Arabidopsis thaliana: one gene and its partner. The protein of the gene in region 2 interacts with the protein of the main gene of each other region in a pairwise test. Each region holds a gene or a part of one and is shown on either strand. Other genes may lie near its edges.

Evidence for each region.
Region 1: the proteins of AT5G64780 (region 2) and AT5G65400 interact in a two-hybrid assay, tested with the Arabidopsis thaliana proteins (one large-scale study listed by BioGRID).

What each region holds. Positions count from the first base shown.
Region 1 is NC_003076.8:26,129,582-26,133,800, reverse strand, and holds AT5G65400 (alpha/beta-Hydrolases superfamily protein), read right to left. Parts: upstream 2,519-4,219; 5' UTR 2,408-2,518; coding exon 2,075-2,407; intron 1,917-2,074; coding exon 1,818-1,916; intron 1,721-1,817; coding exon 1,679-1,720; intron 1,450-1,678; coding exon 1,305-1,449; intron 1,061-1,304; coding exon 959-1,060; intron 831-958; coding exon 739-830; 3' UTR 501-738; downstream 1-500.
Region 2 is NC_003076.8:25,899,903-25,904,016, forward strand, and holds AT5G64780 (holocarboxylase synthetase), read right to left. Parts: upstream 2,226-4,114; 5' UTR 2,054-2,225; coding exon 1,895-2,053; intron 1,332-1,894; coding exon 1,251-1,331; intron 1,086-1,250; coding exon 798-1,085; 3' UTR 510-797; downstream 1-509. Other genes in the region: AT5G64790 (O-Glycosyl hydrolases family 17 protein), read left to right, coding at 2,811-3,157, 3,471-3,927, 4,004-4,114.

The DNA.
Region 1 (4,219 bases), 230 kb from region 2:
TGATGATTTGTTAAAAGTGCATGAAAACTAAACAGTTAAAGCTTTGCAAGCGTGAGAATACTTATGATGGGTATACATATAAGTCTGAAATTACACAACCCATGTCGACGTCTACTGTTTATCATATATTTATTTTGAAATGAGGGGTAATCATATGATCTGTAATTCGATATGTTCAATCAATTATTTCATACAAGAATAAAAAAAGAGTTGAAATTTTGTTTTTTTTTTAAGACTAGAAAGCAACCGACAAGGCTAAGTTAATAGGGTATAAGGGGGTAGATTGAAAAAGAAGTAAAACTTTGTTACAAGTGGAACTCATAGATTATCATGAGATCCATTTGACCATTAATACATCTAAAGGACAATAATTTAACTCACCTTCTTTGATGCCCCCCTCCATATTTTTTGTTCTTCCATCATTTTTTTTTTTTGTTGTTAAATTCTCCTAACATTTTTCCTATAACAAAGAAAAAAGTTTGAATAGAGTTTTTGATATTGGCTGCTCATATATTTAAAGGAAGACAATTGTACCAAACTATTTGACCATCTTTGGCTCTTCTCTATAAACTGTAATTACATGAACGGGCAATCCATATTGGTTGGTAAATTTAATAATTTACGTTTATTGAATTGTCCCTGGATAAAGACTAAACCAGAAGAATAATCACATCTCACAATTTTATAAAATTGCAAGATCATCTAATCTAAAGTAAACCATACTGGAGTAGCTCTCAGTCACATCAAGCTTCTTACAGAACCTGATTCATCAGAAAGCATCTGCCTAATGCTCTGGAAGAAACTCAACATTGTCTCCTCAGCTTTAGTATCTGCAGAAGACAAAGATAAGCTCATTAGAGTAAATTAAGAAGAGACAGATCTTATGTTACTTATTTCAATTGCATATTTCTCCAAAAAAAATCAGAGCTTAAATGATCAGCCTTTCATGCTTACTAACCGAGTTTTGGTATAATGTGTCCACCTGAATGATGGATCACCACTGGCTCTACGAATGATTCTACAAGCACTTCACCTTCTATCTTCAGGAAATCCCTCTCACCTGCAGCAAAACCGATACAGAATTACAAACAAGTTGTCTCTTATGTCATATCAAATGTTGTAGGAGAGAATCTCTAACGTTAACATGTAGTGCTGCAGATTAGATTCTAGTCTAAACACTCCCATGCCAATCTTGGCTACACTAAAGGCACACTACTAACGTAAGCTTCAAACAACAGAAACTTGGCATTACAACATAACCGAGAAATCAAGTCAAGAACATGCGCAACGTAGTAACAGTTTACCTATGAAGTGGAGTGATGGGCAACGAACTGGAGATGAGAATGCATTAACAGCAGCTTTAGGCTCCCCAAACATCAACCCTGGAATTTTCGCTCCAGAAATGATAACTAAAAACTTGACTTTTGGCACCTTAGTTAGAGCCGATCCCTACAAAACAGTTTACAACATCACAGACTTACTCAAACTATTAAAACAACATGTTTCATTCTTCAATTCAGATTCAACCTCTCTGTTGCATATAAATGGTTTCAACATCACACACTTGCTCAAAACAGAACAATAGAAAACTACTCTAACAATAGGTTTCATTCTTCAAAATATCATAAGCAGATTCAATCTCAGAACCAGGATTATGATCAGTTATGCAGTTATGTACCTGTTCTTGCATTCCAGGAATAGCTGCAGTTAGAAAAGCTCCCTGCAAGAATGGATCAAGAATCAACGGTCCACGATCCTCCTGCTGATATATATGAAAGTGATCAGTACTAAAATCTCGCCAAAGAATCAAAACAAACCTGAGAAAAACCAAGAAGACCATCAAAAGGTCCATTCTTTATCATGTAGTCCTCTATATAAGCCAAACACTCTTCAAAATTCCTATATTCCTTAAACCCCTGCAAACACACACACACACAAATCAAATTATGTATACAAACTTAGACCAAATCTCTCTGTTTTCTAGAGAAAAAAAACAACCTTTACTCTGATAGTGTTAACAGTGTCAATGATCAATACTGAATTCAAGGAAATTTAGGATTTTGTTGCAACGAACCTTGTTAGCCTGGTACCACTCGTAATACGGTGGGTCAAAGAAACGCTCGACGTCCGATTTCCCGGTGGCCGGAAAAGGAGCGTCAAGGAAATCGAGGTCGAGATCTCGGAGAATTGTGTCCGGCCATTTACCTATACCGGCTTGGAGAATCCGACCACTAGTTCTGAATCCATGAAGGCATAAAATTCTAGGGTTCTTCGGTTTCAGGTGAATTTCCGGCGCCATCGCCGTCGTTAACCGTAATCCCGTTTGGAAACAAGGATAGGAGTATCCTAACATCTGACAAGCTCTAGCTCTCTTCTCAGGTTTCGAATTGTCCTTGTGCCCTAACATATCGCTTGTCGCGAAAGTTTTGGTAGAAAGGCCCAAAACTCTATAGGCCCATAAAGAAGAATCCTTTGAAATCAGTTTCGCAAATATCGGCCCATATCATTGTTTATCTCTTATTACAAATATTTTCCAAACTTTCAAGAGTTACAATTACAAATAGATCAATATATATATAGACAATGAAAATTATGTATGGAGAAGCTTACTCGAAGAAATGAGAGTTTTCCACTAACAAAAAAAACTTGTATATTCATCATAATCTAACTTTTTTTTAGATAATCCAAATCATGCTTTAAATTATGTAAAGTTCAGTTAGAAGTGAATACATGTTGCTCTAAGAGTTACAACAACATAAAGCCAGCACAAAACTCATGCTTTAGCATTCTCTTCCCCTAAATAAATATATGCTTCTTGGCTATATATATTATTAGACACGCATATGGGACATCATGTTTTTTTTTTTTTTTTTTTTTACAATTATCAAGAAAATGGTTTGGAGTCGAGGTGGTCTTTCGGCAATTTTGACTGCAGCCGAAGCCAAAGATAAAGAAATTTCGACATTAAACCTCAACAGTTTTTTCATATGGATTCAAAGCAAACTACTATGTATAGATTCATTTTTAACACTTAATTCATCCTCTAGGAATCCCACACTGATGTAATCAAATCGTATATATTGCAAATGAACTTTATAGCATATGTAACAAAGCAAGTTATAGTGCATATATAACGAACTTGTCGTTATCATCTGAAACAACCTGTAATGATCTTCTCAATTCTTTATATTGATGTTCACACTAATGAAAATAAAGTTGGATGCAAATATTTTGAACTTTTAGTTAGGGATTAATCAATCGAGTCAGTGCAATAAAAATTGTAGGTATAGTGTATAATCGTCGGTTGGTTTCGCATCATATGGGCCTCATAAAATTGCCAACTATAATTCAGTTCATTTTGTCAAATACCGATTATATTTTAATTTAATGATTAATACGAACCTTCTGGATTCACTGTAAAATGACCTTTACAGGCTATCAAATGTCTTCTTCCGTTGTTATGTTATGTTGTAATGTATATGTACCCGTTTTATTTGGGGTTATAATATTTGTATTTATTATTCAACTATATAAAATTCTCTGACAGCTATCTCCAACTCTTGTTACTACTAGCAACAAACACAAGAGATAGTAATGGACAAAAGAAAATAAATAAAACGAAAAACAGCAAATATCCAACGGTAACGACAACAATAAAACCATAACCAGTAATCAAAAATTATCCCGATAGGTCTGCTACGCACATGGGATATACGATAATAACGACATCGTTCTTTCTTGATAGATCTGTATTTTTGTCATTAAGGTTCATCGTATACGGGCAAAGAGATCGTTACTATTTACTATATCAGAAAAAGTATACTATTATTATCGGTGGGTGGATCGATTAGACAGTAAGACAAACATGATACAATATTCAATACTACTTCATTATACGTTTTCTCTCTCCAATTATTATTGACAATCATGATTCGATTTAGCTAAACCAATCCGGTCTTCTAAAACCATTGATGATTTTATACTCAACGGATAGAATTGGTTCTCAACTTCGATTTCTCATCTACTATACTTACCAAATCATTAAAAAATGACAAATTTACAACTAAGAGCTAAAAATTGAGTTAACCTAAAAATCCTACAAAATTATATATATACATATATGCGACTACATTATAGTGATAAAATGATCTATCACTTAATTATGTTTAGTTTTGAAAATGTATTCTCTTATTTACGATAAAACAAGTTGTTAATCACT
Region 2 (4,114 bases):
CGTTTTGATACCCCATTGAAATGTATATGGACCTATGACCTGACTCCTGAAATAATTATGTGTGGACCTAATTATTTATAAATTCTTAGTGACAAGTTGTTTCGAACACTTTCAAATTTTATTATAGCTCTAGTTTATATGATTAGCTAGATGAGTTGATTAGACTTTTACGTTTGAAAACACCGTGGCAAATAAAAAAAGACACAAAATTTGGAAAAAATCTAGATAGAAATCAGCCAAAATGTCATTGTGCCAAGATGTAGTGACAATCTCCAGACAACCACCTTGATGAATGTCTTGTTAGTACAGATAACACCATGACCAAAAGAAGAAGAAAGTGTGATTCTGTAACTTTTGTTTTTATCTGTCCATAGATTTTTGAACGAGAAGTTTCTTCTGAGGATTAGCATAAACCACGTAGCTCGGCGAAGATCAACATCAGGGCAATGTTTTTGCAGACAAGTTGAATTGAAAGAGGGACCATGAGAGCACATGGAAGGTTTTGGCTTCAATTTTGATCATTAGTCTTTGTCTCTCTTTCATCACTGTTAACAAGTCTACATTTAAGTCTTGAGAGCTTTAGACAAGACATGAAATCATCATATCGCCTATCGACAAAATCACTATCAGAGATTTGTCTATCTTAAGGGTCAATTCACATTCATCCAGCTTCTTTGAAAGATTAGGAAAAAGTGTTTTGTGTATTACATGAGACAATACTTTACCACAAACAATTGAGACTTTACAATGGAATGATTTATGTTTTTCATCTTTCGGCAAATGAAACAAGATTTTATTCAGTAAGATAAGTGTTCACCTGTAGAGTTGGGATTGTAGTTATTATTACCAGACTCAGCCTCACACAAGTTGAAGTCCTGAAGGGTTCTTCGAACCGGACTTGAGAGACCATTTGGTGGAATCAAGAGTTTCTCTTGGTTACAATCATAATGTTGTTGTTGTGCTATGTGACTTGAAGGAACATGAGCTACTGATGTATTTACGTTTGGTGGAGCGAATTGGTGCTGATAAAACTCTTGCATGGGGAGTGGTATCGACGTCTCCTCAGGTTCATATTCAAGCGCATTCTGCATATATGGTTTTAAAAGGTAAACACGAATAACTTTCAGATCAAACTAAAGATCGTTGGGACTTTAATGCGTAGCTAGTCAAGAGAGGTATAATCAATCTGAATTCCAATTACATAGCAGGAGCGTAATCAGAAACGAGATACTGTTTTCAAAGGAAAGTACCTGTAAGTAGGTAGTAATATCAGCTGTGGATACTCTAGTTCCTTGTTCTTCTTGTCTCACAATCCATTGGTAAAGCTTCTCCTGTAAAAAGAAAGAAAAAAGTAAAACTCAATGGACCAATCAAACCTCAAATCTCATACTACAATGTCATGAATCACTATTGAATGACGCCAAGAACGTCAAGCTGCCACCAAAAGAGAACAGCCATCCTAGTTCATCAATCTAGTAAAAAACAAAAGTAAGCACTTCAAGATCAAAAGGCCACAACTTTTATCAGTAAGACTGCTTGCTTAGCCTCATATCTAAACTAGCTTCATAGATCATAACCAATTTCAGAGTGTGTCTCCAATTAACTCACGTACGACAATCAATCGAACATAAACAAGCCAAAGAGATCAACTTTACCAAAACAACACATAAGAAACAACATTGAATATCCATGATTCATTCTGTGACTCTAAAATCTCGAGAGCAAACAGAAACCCAACAACACATAAGCACTCAATTTACGATTCAAGATAGTCAACCAACATCAAAACAAGCAACGAGAAGAAAACTTTTCAACTATGTTTCTATCTATCGAACCCAGAAGCCAAAAATCGAAACTGGATATAAAACAAGGTCAAGAGAGAGAGAGCAGAGACCATTCCGCGACGTTCACCGGCGAGGAAAGAAACGCGTTGGTGATTCATGGCATGTGTATAGAGCTGCGAGAGCGAATTAGCAGCGCCTCGAAACGCGCCATACATGGTTCGATCAACCTCATCGAGCCGCGTAGCCTCGGATTTTCGTTTCTTCCCCATTAGAGTCCGAACGAATCTCACAAACCCTAGAAATAGAATTGTCCAAGTTCTTAACAATTTGTAATTTAGGGATTTTAGAAAGAAGAAGAAGGATTATTGCCTTATTGGTGAAGGGAAGAAGAAGAAGAAGAAAGACTTGTGGCATTTACTCTGTAGAGATTCTGCCACGTGGCTTTCATGCTACTTTTAAGGGTCCCATATATCTAAAAACCTGGGCCCCACTATTGGCTTTGCAGACAAAAATTTTGAAGCTTTGGACTGTTTTTTTTTTCTTTGGTCCACGAATTTTTTTTTTTATGTGTAGAACCAAACCGTTAATAATTTGTGGATCTTCAATGAAAATAGTAGCTAATCACATATTTTGAGTTCAGACTGATTTATATACCAAAAATTAATATTAATAAACTGCTATCTCATTGTTTCAAGGATGTATTCGTTTAATAAGCAATTCGACCAATTATTAACAGCGATATACTCTCTTAACCAAAAAAAAAAAAACTAACTGATTCCGAAAAAAATACACACCTCTTTGTAGCTTGTAATTCTTTCTAAAAATAGAAATTTATTTTAAGCTTAATTAATCTTTCACTAACAACCTAAAAACATTCCTATTACAACGACCACCCAAGACACGAAAAAGAATTTTACCGACTGGAAGAAGAAAAAACATCAACCAGACAAAAGAAAAGAAAACAAAAACACATCTTCGAGATCAAACAAACCCTAATTATCATCCATCGTCGCCTTCTCAATATATATGGCCGGAAGAGCAGCGATGCTCGTTAACGTCGGGACGGTTATAATGACCGTTTTGACCCTGGCTAGTTTGGTCGGAGGCTTCGGTGTGAATTGGGGCAATATCGCATCACATCCGTTGAATCCCAACATTGTTGTTCAGATGCTTAAGGACAATAAGATCAATAAAGTGAAGCTTTTTGACGCTGATTCATGGACGATGAATGCTTTGGCTGGTACGGGCATGGAGGTTATGGTTGGAATCCCTAATAACCTTCTTGAGTCTCTCGCAGATGATTACGATAATGCTAAAGATTGGGTTAAAGAAAACGTGACCCAGTATATTCGTAAGGGTGGCGTCGACATCAAGTAACCTTCAAAACTTTTTCATTTTTTTGTAATCATGTTTTTACCATAATTCTATCTGATCGACTACATGATAAACCGATTTGATAAATAGATCGATTTTGGTTGGCTATTTATTTCCAATTTGAACAAAATCGCACCAATGAGATGATTTCATTTATTCAGACAATTTTTTTCCTGTTAATTTTTAATATTCTTAGTTTCTTGTTAAAATTTAATAATAATAATAAATTTGACATTATATTCATCTAAATACCTACAAACCGGTAAAAGTCGCTGTTTTGGGTGTATATTTGACCGAGAATTCATTCACTAGGTACGTAGCCGTGGGGAACGAGCCGTTTTTGTCTGCATACAACGGATCGTTCTTGAAGACAACATTTCCAGCGTTAAAGAACATTCACAAGGCGTTAAAAGAAGCTGGACACACCAATATAATGAAAGCCACGATCCCACAAAACGCAGAAGTTTACCAATCAGCCAACGACAAGCCATCAGAAGGTGATTTCCGCAAGGATGTCAAACAAACGATGCTTGATATCGTCAATTTCTTCCACGAAAACGACTTACCTTTCACCGTCAACATTTACCCTTTCCTTAGTCTTTACCTAAACGAGCATTTTCCCGTTGAGTTCGCTTTTCTTGACGGTGATGGTCAGACAATGACTGACAAAGGAAAGAATTATGATAACGTGTTTGACGCCAATTACGACACACTTGTTTACGCGTTGAAGAAGGCTGGGATTCACGATATGAAGATTATCGTTGGAGAGGTAACGTGACAAGCAAGTTATTAATTAGATATATTTATCAAGAATGTTATTGAGTTTGGTTTATGTTTTTCTTTAGGTTGGATGGCCAACGGATGGTCACAAATATGCATCGCCGAAGCTAGCGGAGAAATTCTATGCAGGGCTTATGAAAAGACTTGCTAAGGACGGTGGGACTCCAACGAGGCCT